Linked DNA regions of Macaca mulatta. The protein of the gene in region 2 purifies or fractionates together with the protein of the main gene of each other region. This does not show direct contact. Links are inferred from orthologs where the notes say so. Each region holds a gene or a part of one and is shown on either strand. Other genes may lie near its edges.

Region 1 (3,568 bases), on a different chromosome or scaffold from region 2:
AAAGAAGAGCTTATGCCTACTCTCAGAATTTGGGGATAGTTGGATATAGTCAGACAAAAGTGGTTTGAAGACTTCTGATCATCAGTCGGTATTAAGGTAATTTCAGGAAGAAATTCCCAACAGAAAGTGATTACAGACATGGGATTCAGTCCCCAGTGAAAGTAATGTATTGTTTTTCTTAATTACCAGGGGGTTGCCACCCAGCTCTCTAAGATTATGCAAATTGATGATCTTTCAGTGTGTTTCCCCTACCCCACAGCCACTCTGTCACCCTTAAAACCTATTTTTTGAGAGTCCATAACCCTTACTGCTCCCAGGTGACTGCCCAGGACGTGCGGAAGGAAAGCCCCCTGCTCTTTAAGTTCCGTGCCAAGTTCTATCCTGAGGATGTGTCCGAGGAATTGATTCAGGACATCACTCAGCGCCTGTTCTTTCTGCAAGTGAAAGAGGGTATTCTCAATGATGATATTTACTGCCCGCCTGAGACTGCTGTGCTGCTGGCCTCGTATGCTGTCCAGTCTAAGTATGGCGACTTCAATAAGGAGGTGCATAAGTCTGGCTACCTGGCCGGAGACAAGTTGCTCCCACAGAGGTGAGGTGATTCCCTGCCCTCCTTTGCCTTGGCCATAAGGGGCTGCAGCCCACAGCTGACCAATCCCTGCCCCACAGGGGATGCCAGATCTGTTCCTCTCCATTGGGATCTGTCTGAAGACTGTGTTATGCTGCTCAAGAGACATTTGCATATAGTGTCATACTCTGTTGTTATTTTTCTGGCTTTCCAAATAAAAAGCCTTTTTTCCCCTCTGTCTGCCTGATTACAGAACTTTATTACCTGGGAGGCAGGTGCTTATGTAGAACCAGAGATTGAGTAATTTCTTTCACCTCTCCCTGGTTCCATTTTCTCAGTTCTTTTTACTGATTTAGATCTCTTATATCAGAAGTTCACAGGGGAGAGAGAGAAATAAGCAAACCAGGGACATGGAGAACTCAAATAGTCTTTTAATATTGACAGCTAGTGTACAGAGCTTTCTCCTTTTGTAAACTTCAAAGTCAAAAGCTCTAAAACCCTCATTATTTTTGTTTTTGCATCACAATAACACACAAAATGAACAAAGCAGGCATTATCCTTATTTCCTGGCCGAGGAAATAGAGGTGCAGAGGTACTCACACTGACTTTCCCCATCTGCTGCAGCTCATCTGAGGCAGAGCCAGAGCCAGACCTGGAAGCTTAGCACCTTAATATTTTAACACTAAATTTTTTCCAACTATACACAATGGCTGTTTCCATAGTCTTTTGGATTAGAAGGAAAAGCTTTGCTTCATTCTGGGAGCCTCAGTCCCACTGGAGTTATGGCATATATGTACAACACACTCATAAGATATTAGGGATAGTGCTTGTACCCTGGGGACTCTCCCTGAGTCATTGCCATGATATCTGAGATGGCATGTTTAAAGCTAACCTTGTTTATAATCTAGTAGGTCTTGGAGGTTGGGCCTGTTGGTTTTTCTCAAAGCCATTAGGACTCAGTTCATTGCTCTGTAGCCAAAGGCCATTCTTTCATTTCTGAGCAGTATTCTTATAAACATAGACTGTTGGTCCCAAGAGGATCTAGGAGAGAGTATACCTGGCTCTATGAGGTCCATCCCTACTTTTAGCCCCTCAAGTCAGCACAAACTCCTGATGCTTTATTGCTATGCTTAGGGACCACAGCACATCATTTGATTTGTGGATAAAGGTACAAAGGAAGGTGTTCCCCTTGTTGTTTTTGATCATCCATTCTTGTAGCTCTCTTACCTTTCAGGCAATTCCTTGTGTCTAATTTAATACCTTTTTAGCTATAATTTCAGTCTGCTTCCAGCGTGACCTCAGTTGGCTGACTCTACATCCTCTTTGCATCAGCCCCTTAGAAAGCTAAATGGGCTTCCCTTCTCTCCTGCACAGGGACTTTTGCGCTTTAAACTACTCATCACCCATTGTCTTTCCAGAGTCCTGGAACAGCACAAACTCAACAAGGACCAGTGGGAGGAGCGGATCCAGGTGTGGCATGAGGAACACCGTGGCATGCTCAGGTAAGCTTGCCCAAGCAGTGGTGGGCCCCACTTCCCTTATAGGGTGAATGAGAATGCGTTCTGGGGAGAAGAGACAGATGACAAGGGACATTGGTAGATGTTGGAGAAGAGGGAACAGGGATGATAGAAGGCAAACTAGGACCATTATAAGGTTGTTTTTTGTTTGTTTGTTTTGCTGAATGGTGGTAACTGATAGCACAAACAGTTTTGACTATCAAGAAATGGAGGGGACCTCAGGATGTCCAGGGAGCTACTGGGCCACCAAGGACTCCCCGCCCCCTGCCAGAAGGAAATAAGGAAGGAGCTCTTAAACATGGCAAAGCATTTTTGAGGGTTGTCTAGTTGAAGGACAAATATCATCATTTTGCCATAACCACATTCTGAGCCCTGCTAAGAATGTGTAAGAGGCTGTCACAATGAATGAGAGAAAGAAAATTGCTTCTGTGGCAGCCAACATGCCAGAGGCCAGCAAGGGTCAACCCATCTTTATTCCCTTTGGGAGCATAGACCCTAGGTTTTTGTTAGGAGATTTTGCTTTGCAAAAGTCATGCTATGCTCTGTTCTCCATCATCTGGTTGCCTTTTGTGCCCTTTCCCACTCCTGATAGCAAGATACTTGTCAGAAGTACAGAGTAAGCAGGCTTTCTCTCTCCTTGGGTCTGACTCACAAGCCCCACTTTGTGACCCCCAACTGTGTCATTTAGGGAGGATGCTGTCCTGGAATATCTGAAGATTGCTCAAGATCTGGAGATGTATGGTGTGAACTACTTCAGCATCAAGAACAAGAAAGGCTCAGAGCTGTGGCTGGGGGTGGATGCACTGGGTCTCAACATCTATGAGCAGAATGACAGGTATATCTCAGATCTCTTTTAGTTTATTTAGGTTATGTTAACATCTAGGGCTCACTTTTCACCAAGGAGCAAGGCCATAGCTCTTGGGTCCCACCTCAGTTCTTTTTCTGCCTAATTTAGTCCAGCCCAGATGATTTCACAACTTTCCTTAGGCCTCTAAATTCTGTATTGACTAGACTCACACTGTCAACTGTGGTAGCCACCAGCCACATGGGGCTATTGAACACTTGAAATGTGGCTACTTTGAATTGAGATGTGCTGTAAGTGTAAACTACACACTGGACTTTGAAGATTAGTGTGAAAAACAGAATGCAAAAATGTCTTAATATTTTTAAAAATATTTATTTACATGTTCAAATGATAATATTTTAGATATATTGGGCTAATTAAACTTATTAAAATTTTATTACATCCATTTCTTTTTACTTATTTTCATGTAGCTACTAGAAAACTTAAAATTATATATGTGACAGTCATTATGTTTTTATTGATTTGTGCAGGCCTAGACTGTCTTATCGGGATATATTTTGATTAGTCTCCTGTGATAATTAAATGGCTTTTGGCCTATAATCCTCTCACTGTAGCCTTATCTCACTTGCTTATATTTTTCACTTGGTGTGCTCTTGGTGAGAATGGAGATCAATAGAT
Region 2 (3,568 bases):
TTTAGTGGTTCCATGTTGTCAGGCTGATGAACGAGAGGACAGAGTCATGGCTACTAATAATCTCAGAATTTGCAAAAGACTTAAGTGCCAGCTTAGGCTTCTAAGCAAATACTACTGGCCATCTTGTGAGATTGCCACTCAGAGTTCAATTCAGCCAGATATGGTGGCTTTAATCCTACATAATTCCAAATGAAGAGATTCCTCTTCCTATTCTTATCTCAACACCATAACCATTGCCTCATAAGTGTAACTGGAACTTCTGACACAGGTCCTGAAGGCTTGCATTTCACTTAAGTTTGAAAGAATCTCAGGATAAGAAACTTGTAACGATTCATGAGAAAGGACAATTTCAGGAAATTTCTCCATACATTGGAAACATCATAAGCTCTTCAAAACCCTCAACACACTTTTGTAGTAAAAATTTTGTTTTCAAAGAAGACTTTACTCATAATCAGTAACATAACCAAAAAAATTACTAGCAAGGATAACTCACTACTCACACTCTGCTCACCTTGGATAATTAATTCTACTTCTTTTCTGCTTCTTCCAGCCTGGTTAATTCCTTCACATACATAAACTCCAGAATCTTCCATTTTTGTAGAAATTAAGTTGAGAGTTGCATCCTCAGAAAGAGACTGTAGCTCCCCATTAGGTAGCTGCCTGCTCCATAGGATTTTCGGAGCAGGAAGGCCGTGGCTCAAGCATGTCATATTCACAGAACTGCCTTCCTCCAGGATGGAGGAAGGGCTGACCAAGATGGTTGTATCTCTGGGGGCAACTGAAAAGGCAGAGAGGCTTGTTAGCTGGACCCCTTATGCCCTGAGTTCCAAAGAGTTTTAATAATGTTGCAAAACTGGGCTATGGGTTCAGCAGATGCAAACAGTTTATAAACCTTGATAATTTAACCAAGAGGTTTTGGTCCTTATTTACTTTAGTTGATACCAAATGATAGAGCAGAACGTGGACACGTCATGGTGTTTTCTAATGGAAGTAAGTTCAGTATAACCTCCCTTGCAACCAAAGAATGACGAGGGTCAATGATAGTGTGTACTGCCATTTATGGTAGAGTCAACAAGACTATGAATTATTTGAATCTCCTTCTGTAAAAAGATGTGGTCTATTTTTCCACCCCTTGAAACTCTAGGCTGGCCTCATGACTCACTTTGACCAATAGAATGTGGAAGAAGTAACACTGTAGGACTTCCAAACCCAGGCCTTGAAGAGGCTGCTTTCATTTACACCTTCTTGAAAACTGAGCTCTGGTGAGTAAATCTAGGCTACTGTTTCTCAGGGTGACAACGCATAAAGAAAGAGAGGCCAGGTCATCCCAGATATGGCTCCAGACATGTGGGTGAAGTCATCTGAGACCAGCCAGTCCTGCTAACCTTACAGAAAATGCATGAGCGAGCTCAGCTAATACCATATCGAGCAGAATAACTGCCTAGCTGGCCCCTTCCTAAATTGCCAACTCAAAGCATCATAAGTCAGTAAATAGTTACTCTTTTAACTTTATGGAGGGTGATTTGTTACAATCATTATTATTTTGAAATTTCTTTTCAGTTATGTTTTTTCTCTACAGAGGTTTTAACTATTAACCTTATGTTAACTATTGCCTGGCAAACACGATAAAGAGACAGGTATTAAGCTGTAGATACCTCACATATGTACTTACCATTGACATAAAGTGTCTGTGTACTCTGCCTTTGTTTGGGTTCAAATTCCATTTCATCCATATGTAACTTAGCCTGACAAACAAGAGCTTTTCCAGTATCTTCAGTGGTAGGGATGAAGGTCGCTTCCAAACTTTTGTTCTCTAGAGATTTCATATCTGTATCCTCCAAAAACTCTTTATTCTCCAGAACAGTCTCCCCCTTAAGTAATTCAATCTCCAACCGGTCAAGGGGGTACACGCTAGAAACCTTGCAGCTTACAGTGATGGGGCTCTCACTCACAAGGACACCTCTCATCTCGATTTCTGGATCTCTAGGGAATGCTGCAAAACGCAAGCAAAAATGATTTTTATACGCGATATTCAAGGAAAAATTGAGCTAAGCTTTATTAAATGTAAAGGCCTAAAAATGACAGCTTTAATTGACCTGGGATAGAATGACTGTCAATATATAAGTAACGACAGTATTTATAAATGACATATTCATGATATTATATATGAATAATGTTAGAAACAAAAACTACTTAGTATATCCAGTCCTTGAGTAATAAATGTTCACTTCTTATTTTTTTTTCTTCTTAATATGCAATCTTGCTGTGTGCCATGGCTTGATCTTTTCTAAGTACACATCAGCTTCCACTATCTTATTTAGTAAGTATATATTTTACATGTTTTAAATTTGCCATGTTATGTTGAATACTTAGTATCAACTAGTCCTCTAATATTCATTATCTCAGTCTTCAAAGCAGCTATGTAAAATGGGTATTAGTTATTTTACAGCCAGGAATACTGAAACATATAGAGGCTAAGAGACTTTCCTCATGCATTATACCTAGTTGAAGTCAATGAGATGGGCTGAGAATCCGTATTTCTCTGACCTCAGAGCCCAGCTTTGGTTTTACACAGCTGTGCAGTCTCTCAGTATCAAATAAGACAAACAAGGAAGTTCTCAACTTAGTTTAAATTTTAATGACCAAATTTAGGCAGCAAGTTTTAAATATTTCTCAGATAATACTTGTAATCAAGAAAAGAACTGCTTAACTCTAGTCTTTCTAATACAGCACATATCAATAAAAATAAGACTAAAATAGCTATCAAGGGCAAGAATAATGCTTAAACATATTTTTCCTTAACAAAAATGTTGTTAAAGTGATACATGCTCAAATATTTCTATGTTGCAATAAGACTCCACTGCTGGTTCTCATTTCTGCTGGGAATGTGCCTATCTCAGCAGATCATGGACTCTGGGTAATATAATAATGCAAATAAAATGTATCCTCCTTTTGAGAGACTCAAATCCATTTACAGGCACACTGTGACCCATTCTGAACAAAATATTGAAGGGTAACACAAGTTTGGGCAGGCTTTCTGGTAGAAAATCTCTATAATATGTTCTCTTGAGTTCTACTGAAGTGAGAACTCAAGGCAGAGTGACCCTCTCAAAAAAATAACTTTATGGTTACTTTGCATATTTTGTTCTTCATTCAATATGGACTGAGGAACTCCAGCAATGTCAAGTTCATGGAGATTTGAGGTTGCAAAGAGTGTTTATTAAGACGACAAGAAGAGTAAGAGAAAGCATAGTATATGTAGGTGGCATAAATCAACATTAAGATCTAACGCTACTTCCTGATTCTGCTTTTCACCTTAGCCACTGCCACTGACCATCGCCATCTCCAGCCTAATTCCTTATCTTTAATTTTGGCTTCCTTTTGCTTCCTATTCCCTTATTTTTTTTCCCATCCTGCAGACAGCTCTTCAAATGTGCTTTAAAGCAGTGCCTTAAAATAGTTTAAAACTACTCATTCCCAACTGGAGTAGTTGGAGTAGTCACCTCCACCCAGTCATCTGAATGGGCACTGACCCCAATGCACTCACCTCCAGCATGTAGTGTGTTCA

What was found.
Region 1: the proteins of VCAM1 (region 2) and MSN purify together in Homo sapiens (affinity purification with western blotting; 3 studies listed by BioGRID, with this or other methods). This does not show direct contact. The link is inferred for Macaca mulatta from reciprocal best matches to the Homo sapiens genes VCAM1 and MSN.

The regions. Positions count from the first base shown.
Region 1 is NC_133426.1:71,831,621-71,835,188, forward strand, and holds part of MSN (moesin), read left to right. Parts: intron 1-317; coding exon 318-592; intron 593-1,986; coding exon 1,987-2,070; intron 2,071-2,773; coding exon 2,774-2,920; intron 2,921-3,568. UniProt on the Homo sapiens protein: Ezrin-radixin-moesin (ERM) family protein that connects the actin cytoskeleton to the plasma membrane and thereby regulates the structure and function of specific domains of the cell cortex.
Region 2 is NC_133406.1:139,537,802-139,541,369, forward strand, and holds part of VCAM1 (vascular cell adhesion protein 1), read right to left. Parts: intron 1,994-3,568; coding exon 1,673-1,993; intron 779-1,672; coding exon 512-778; intron 1-511. UniProt on the Homo sapiens protein: Cell adhesion glycoprotein predominantly expressed on the surface of endothelial cells that plays an important role in immune surveillance and inflammation.